Linked DNA regions of Canis lupus familiaris. The protein of the gene in region 2 interacts with the protein of the main gene of each other region in a biochemical or structural test. Links are inferred from orthologs where the notes say so. Each region holds a gene or a part of one and is shown on either strand. Other genes may lie near its edges. The genes, in order: FGF19 and FGFR4.

Region 1 (2,894 bases), on a different chromosome or scaffold from region 2:
ATGATTTTCTCTAGAATGAACAGCCAGTTGGGGAATTTTGCCTAAAGACATGCAGCAACTTCTTCCGCAATTTGTGGTTGTCATAATGAGGGGATGCTACTGGCATCTAGTGGATGGAGAGGCCAGGGTCACTGTTGATCATCCTAGCTCACTCAGGAACACCTGACCCCAGCAAAGAGCTACGTGGCCCCAAGTGTCAACATGCAGAGGGTGACACTACTAGCTGGGGTTTGGTTCCTACACCTGACACACCCCTATGCTGTGGCTGAGGTAACCATGCAGAGTCCTAGCAGAGGTAGTAGAAGGAAGCCTGCACCCAGGTCCACGCAGCTTCCACCACTGGGTAAACCGAATCTACTATTCGACCCACCAGAGCCTCAGCTTAGAGGGTGGTTGCAATGACTGTGAGCTTTGGCAGAAAGTGTAGTTTTAAATGCAGCAAACACCCAAAGCCTCTCCTCTGAGCTCAGCGCCAAGGTCTGTTTCCCTTCCCTCCCCTTCCCGCTCTCCCTCGAGGGCATCCAATTGGATAATGAAATGCAACTTTTGGTACAAATTGTGCTTTAATGTAGAAAACAAAAAACTCACGTACATCATAAATACAACTTAGGAGTATAAATAAAGTAAGAAAATAGAGAGATGTACATATCAAACAAAATAAATTACTCATAAATACCACGTTGTTGAACTAAGTGCTGGGGGAAGGGGCTCTCTCCCCGCTGCTTCCGCAAGTTACTGGCAAGATTCCGGGCTTGCGAATCCAAACTTTCCTGGCTTTTGAACGAGATGTGCAGGTCTACCCAAGGTGGGAGGCTGCCAAGTTCTGCTGCATAGGAAGACGTGGTGCCCAGCGAAGGGCTAGGAAAGGGGAAGGAGCCCCAGAAGCCACATCTGCTCCACTCTTCTTGGAATCCTTGGTGCTTAAGAAAGGAGGGAACACGCCAGAGCCGCAGCGTCGCCGAGACCAGGAAGGTTCTGTCCTGAGGGGCAATCATGTGAAACCCACACGTCCAGAGATGGGATCCTGTGGAAACCTGCATTGTGATGGCAAGGGCTGCTGGGGCTGTCCTCGTGTCCTGTCCCTCTCAGTAGGTGCCCATTCATTTAGGGGAATCAGCCTGAGCCTTAGCAAATGTTGGCTATGTGCAGGGCACTGGTGGTCAAGGTGGGGGGGGCAGGCAGACTGCCAAGTAGTCCGATGAAGGTGATCTATCCCAGAACCAGCCGTAGTGGGGAGTTCTTAAAAGTTTTCCCGGGCTCTGGGTTCTCCCAGTTCCTGAAGCCTGGTGAGGTATGCCCATGCCCGGTCAGTTCTGTCCTGGTAAGTTTTCACAAAGCTGATCACCTATACGTGAGTTTAAAATGACCGCTTTTTTCCTGGCTGCCCCTGCTAGAAATGATGGGAGAGAACGTTCCCAAAGGTAGTGAGTTCCCGGCCAGTGGAGGTATTCAAGCAGAATCAGGGCACCACAGCAAACTGTCCAGCAATGGCAAAGGTGCAGGGTGGAGGGCTTATGATTTTATGATCATACAAGTCTATCTGCTAGGAACTGGCATAGCCGATGGAAAACTCTGTACATGTACAAGCTCTAGATGTCTCTTCCTAAAGCTAACTGGAACACGAGCCCAGGATCGTATTTGTAGAAGCACAGCCAGAACCCACCACACGTCTGGGGTCCTGGCCTCTAAGGGCTGGGGGCAGGGGTGGGAGGTCAGGCCACAGCCCCACTTATTTTTGGAAACTGGGACTCTTCACTAGTCCAATTTTGGTGGCGATCCCAAAAGGGTCCATGCTGTCTGTTTCCAGGGATGCAGAAAACCCGTCAGACTCCACATGGTCTTCCAGGTCCCTGGGCTCTGTTGGGCTCCCGGGCAAGATAGGTAAGAAGTGGGACAGGGGCAAAAAGCCCCTGCCCTTGTAGAGCTGCCTCTGTTTGGCACTACTCAGAGAGATGGGGAGATGGTGCTTCTTGGACCAGTACACATTGTAGCCATCGGGACGGATCTCCTCCTCGAAAGTACAGTCTCCGGCGGAGTACTGAGGCTGTGGAGAAAACAGGCAACCATGAGCACCAGTGGGAGCCCCCTGGTGCTCCAGAAGCAGCAGAGAAAACGGGCACTGGTGAGCATTTGTGCTACATGTTGCCACTTGGGTCCACATGATGAGCCGTGTTTATCTGTGTGTGTAGTTATACATAGCATAACGTACGTGTTTATATATGTAAATGTGTACTTCTATAAAGTAGGCATTACATTATATTAATAAACACATTGTGCATATGCTAATATAAAAATGTAATAAATTGGGCAGCCGGGGTGGCTCAGCGGTTTAGCGCCGCCTGCAGCCCAAGGTGTGATCCTGAAGACCAGGGATCGAGTCCCATGTCTGGCTCCCTGCATGGAGCCTTCTTCTCCCTCTGCCTGTGTCTCTGTCTCTCTCTCTCTCTCTCTCTCTCTGTCTCTCATGAATAAATAAATAAAATCTTTTTTAAAAAAAGAAATGTAATAAATTATAACATTAAAGTTACATACCGCATTATATATACTTTGTAAGTATAAATTTATACATATTAATAGGTGTTTTATATGCCTTCATATACACACATACTTCAGGTGCGTATTTCATGTGTGTACTCAGTATCTGTATATACTTTTCATGGATCTTTTATATCTCTCACTAAATCATGTCACTTCTTAAACTTAGCCTTGTTCTGAGCAATATGCATCAAATCAGAGGTGCAACATGGGTGCCTCTGTCCCTCACCCTTTACAGCAAACATAGAACTATTGACATGAAAATGTCCCTGGGGTCCACTGACACTTTGGGAGACACCGCTACACTGGGTATGCTCTCCTAATCTGATCTAGGGCCCAGACTAGCGCATTGATTCCCC
Region 2 (4,567 bases):
GGTTGCTCCAAATGTAATGGCATTGAGATTTGAGTCCTGAAATCTGTGCTCTGAATCACTTCACTTCTTGCTTCTTTCTCCATGCTCATAGGACAAAGGCATCTAAGAAGAACCTAGCAGGTCCAGAATGCTTCTCTGAAGAAGTGAGCTGACCATCAAGAATCAGATGGAACCAACCAGTCCTAAAGGGGAAAGATCATTCCAGGAAGAGGGAACCATGTGTGTAAAGGCCAAGAGGGTAGAATGGGAGCAAGGAAGAATGAAGGACTTGTCTGGAGATGTGGACAGGGGCCAGGTCATGCCAAGAATCATTATGGGAAGCTAGTAGAAAGTTTTAAAGGAGTAGTAGATACATTCAGATTTGTATTTCCTTTTTTTCTTTTTTTAAGATTTTATTTTTGGGGGATCCCTGGGTGGCGCAGCGGTTTGCCACCTGCCTTTGGCCCAGGAGACCTGGGATCGAATCCCATATCAGGCTCCCGGTGCATGGAGTCTGCTTCTCCCTCTGTCTATGTCTCTGCCTCTCTCTCTCTCTGTGACTATCATAAATAAATAAAAATTTAACAACAAAAAAAAAAGATTTTATTTTTAAGGGGCGCCTGGGTGGCTCAGTTGGTTAAGTGTCTGACTTGGCTTAGGTCATGATCTCAGTGCCTGGGATCCATCCGAGTATTGCTCCCTGCTCAGTGAGAAGTCTACTTGTTCCTCTCCTTTTGCCCTTCCCCCCTCAAATAAATAAAATGTTTAAAATTTTTATTTTATATTTTTATTTTTATTTAATTTTATTTTATTTTATATTTTTTAAAGATTTTATTTATTTGAAACAGCACAGGGAGAAAGGTCAGAGGGAGAGGGAGAAACAGACTCCCCGCTAAGCAGGGAGCCCATCTTTGGGCTCTATCCCAGGACCTTCGGATCACACCTGAGCTGAAGGCAGACGCTTAACCAATTGAGCCACCCAGGCGCCCCAAAAGATTTTTTTAAGAGTTTATTTATTTGTTCATGAGAGACACAGAGAGAGGCAGAGCCAGGCAGAGGGAGAAGCAGGCTCCATGCAGGGAGCCCGATGTGGGACTCAATCCCGGGTCTCCAGGATCACGCCCTGGGCAGAACGCAGGCGCTAAACCGCTGAGCCACCCAGTGATTCCCCAAAAGATTTTATTTTTAAGTAATCTCTACACCCAACGTGGGGTTCAAACTCACAACCCCCGGATCAAAAGTCGCATGCCCTACTGACTGAGCCACTCCACTGACTGAACCAGCCAGCCAGGCGCCTCCAGATTTCAAATATCACTCTAAGTTTGTGCAGAGAATGGATGGGAGTGGGTGGGAGCAGACGGGGGTCTCCTAGCCACTGTTTGGTGATTGCACAGAAAACAAGAGTAGCCAGGTTGGGCCAGAGTCTGTAGGGGCTAGCGGGTCAGGACTGCTGGGTGTTACCCTCTAAAAGGGGTGAAGAGCAGAGGTTGGCGCAAAGAACCAGAACCTGGAAGCCTGGTCTAGGTGTGGCAAAGGAGGCGGAGTCTGATGGGGTGTGTAGCAGGCTGAGGTAGGACCCCGGGATCACGCTGGCCCAGTTGGCCATTAGGCTTTGTTGGGTTTGGGGACTGGTCTCCAGGGGGCCGGACGCCGCGTCCCCGTCGTCTCGATAGAGCGGGTCCGGAGGGGCCGGAGATGGGCGGGCGCCGGGTGGTCCTCCCCCAGCCGCGGTCGGGATGGAGCTGGTCCAGGAGGGGCGGGGCCCGGGGTGGGCGGGGCCTGGGCCTCCCGCGGCCACGCCGCTGTCGCGGGTGCATTCCTGACTCTGGCCCCGGGCGGAGGAGCGCCCCGGCTGAGTCTGCGGTCCCCGCTGGGCGCGGGTGTCGCGACTAGCCGGAGCCGGGAGCGGGGCCGAGGAGGGCCCAGGTGAGCTGGGACCCTGTGTCTGGAGCGGGACCACGGAGGCTCGAGGTGAGCGGGACCCCTTGCGGGCTCGGGCTGCGCTCCCCGCCGCCAGAGGGCGAGCGGCAGCGGGGCTCGCGGAGCTGCCCCCTCCTGGCACTGGGGACCTGGGCGTCCTCTAGGAAGGGGGGTGGAGGAGAGGGTAAATCAGTAACCCGCAGCGCACACAGGGCCTTTTGTCCCGCTCCGTCCAAAGAGCACCCTGGCCGTGGAGCTGGTTACTCATTGCCCACCGGGGCGGGGGCGGGGGCGGGGCGGCTGTCCCTGCAGCTCCCCCTCCGGACCTGCCGACTCGCACCTCCCCCCAGGGTGGCCGGGTAAGGGTGGAGAAAGAAGAGCGCGCTGGTCCCTCGGCTGCCAGGCCGTCTGCGTTCCCCGAGTAGAGATGAGGAAGCTGAGGATCCGAGAGGTGCAGTCATTTGCCCAGGGCCCCCCTGCGCTCCTCCCTCCAGCCGGAGGAGAACCCAGGACTGTCTGATTGTGTGTAGATCCTTCAGCCCCTGAGTAAGGCGGTGGGTTGGTCTGTCAGAGGCCACGTGTGATCCGACTAAGGGTTACAAGGTCCGAGCAGCCTGGGTATAGGAATAAAATCCCCAGGTCTCCCTGACCCTCTCCCAGCTCGAGGTGTAGACCCAGAGGGCTGCTTCCCCTGCAGCAGAGCAAGGTGAGGTGATTCTATGGAGGAGGGCCATGGAAACTGGGGGTGGGTGCAGGAACAGTGGCATCTAAGTCAGGTGGAGAGGAGAAATGGGGACACAGAGGTGTGTCTGCGCAAGAGAGAAGACATGCCCAGTTTTGAAAGCCAATGGCTTCAGTGCTGAAGATGCTGAAGGAGCAGACTGTACAACCGAAGATACCCACAAGAGTAGGGAGGGAGGCCTAGAATGCTGGATGAACTATAGATTGGATCCTGCAGGACATGGGTAGCCATTAAGGGCTTAAAAGCTGGGGGATATGGGGTGGTGACATGGCAGATTCTTGTGATTTCTAAAGCCCTGCAAGAGAGCAGAGCCTGGAGTGCCAAGGGAGACATTTGCAAAGGCCCAAGCCAGAGATGACTATGGCCTGCCCTGGGTCCAAGCAAGGGAGGTGGGATGGACTGGAGAAGGATTGAGGAGGCAGATGGACTGGAAGTGGAGGGAAGGGGGAAGGGGGATGGGAAGAGATGATGCCCCAGCTGCAGGGGCAACCCAGGGAAGGAGCAGGGTTGTTTGGTTTTTTGTTAAGATTTATTTTATTCATGAAAGACACAGAGAGAGAGAGAGAGAGAGAGAGAGACATAGGCAGAGGGCGAAGCAGGATGCTTGCAGAGAGCCCGATGCAGGACTCGATCCCAGATCCCGGGATCAGACCCTGAGCTGAAGGCAGACGCTCAACCGCTAAGCCACCCAGCATCCCGGGAAGGAGCAGTTTGAAGGGGTAGATGACAGCTTTGGTCAGGACAGGTGAAGTGCTCCCTGCCTCAGAACCAGAGCTGGAAATGGGGCAGTGACTGAAGAGAAAGGGTGCAGTGGGCTTCCTGGGCAAGGTAGATTCAGAGACACCAGTGTCTCCTGACTGTTAATGAGTTCCAGGTAATAGCCAGTGGTCCCCTGGGACTACATTGGTCACCTCTTCCCCTGCCCCAGCTGAGACTGTTTTGAGTGTTCCTTCTGGGGGATGGGGAGACATCTTTGGTGTCAGAAGAATAGGGTGGGTGTGTGATACCTGACAAGAACTGCACCAGAATTGGAGGTAATTGGCCAAAGGTAGACCTGGGGTGACAGTCATGGAGAGGGAAGGGAAGAACGTTCCAACATTCTGTGTTCCCAGCCCCTACATATGGTCTCTTTTATCCTCAAAGCAGTCCTTTAAAGATAGCATCCAGAGAGGAACAGGAACTTGCAAGTTGGTAAGAGTCCGGATTTGAACTTGGCTTTGTCAGACATAGAGCCCAAGTCACCTCAAATGGAGTTGTGAGGACACAAAAAACAGATGCATTCCCAAGCGTGCAATTCTGGTTCAGAATGAGGAAGAACTTCTCTTGCCATGGAATGTGCTGCTTTGTTAGTAGTGAGTGCGCTGTCACTGAAGGTATTCAAAGCTGGTCAGGAAAATGTCAGCAATGCTATAAGAAGTGTGGGTCAGATCAGATAACATCCAGATGCTAAAGTTTGGCCTTGTATTATATTTCTTTTTTTCCTTTTTTGAGGGGTGGAGTTCTTCAGCAATAAATTCATTTATTCAGCAAAAAATAAATTACGTGTGCTGAGAGTGAGCAGAAGATATGTCTCCTTTTTCTGCTTTCCTCCAAGGAAAGAATCCCCAAACTGCCCTTTCTGTGAACCTGTGCCAGAGTCTCAGCAGGACTGGAGGAGAGCAGGAAGCCCAGCCCTGCCCCCTGAAGAAGCTTTGGGCTCTGGCCACAGCTTTTAGTCTCTGCCTTGCTGCTGCGTGATGGCGGGGAGGGCAAGGCTTGGACAAGTCCTGGCCACTTCCTGTCTCAGTTTCTTCATCCACAAAATAGGAGAATGGCAATGCGAAATGTGCAGATCTATCAGAAGTTCTCCCTCCCTTTCAGGAAGGCAGTTGGTGGTAAGCCCAGCCTGGGTCCTTGTGATCAGCAGGAAGGACATGTGGCTGCTGT

The links.
Region 1: the proteins of FGFR4 (region 2) and FGF19 form a complex in vitro, tested with the Homo sapiens proteins (2 studies listed by BioGRID and IntAct). The link is inferred for Canis lupus familiaris from reciprocal best matches to the Homo sapiens genes FGFR4 and FGF19.

What each region holds. Positions count from the first base shown.
Region 1 is NC_049239.1:48,923,742-48,926,635, reverse strand, and holds the end of FGF19 (fibroblast growth factor 19), read right to left. Parts: intron 2,045-2,894; coding exon 1,730-2,044; 3' UTR 590-1,729; downstream 1-589. UniProt on the Homo sapiens protein: Involved in the suppression of bile acid biosynthesis through down-regulation of CYP7A1 expression, following positive regulation of the JNK and ERK1/2 cascades. Stimulates glucose uptake in adipocytes. Activity requires the presence of KLB and FGFR4.
Region 2 is NC_049225.1:37,138,410-37,142,976, reverse strand, and holds the start of FGFR4 (fibroblast growth factor receptor 4), read left to right. Parts: upstream 1-1,766; 5' UTR 1,767-1,950; intron 1,951-2,219; exon of another isoform or gene 2,220-2,350; intron 2,351-2,472; exon of another isoform or gene 2,473-2,605; intron 2,606-4,501; exon of another isoform or gene 4,502-4,505; 5' UTR 4,506-4,554; coding exon 4,555-4,567. UniProt on the Homo sapiens protein: Tyrosine-protein kinase that acts as a cell-surface receptor for fibroblast growth factors and plays a role in the regulation of cell proliferation, differentiation and migration, and in regulation of lipid metabolism, bile acid biosynthesis, glucose uptake, vitamin D metabolism and phosphate homeostasis.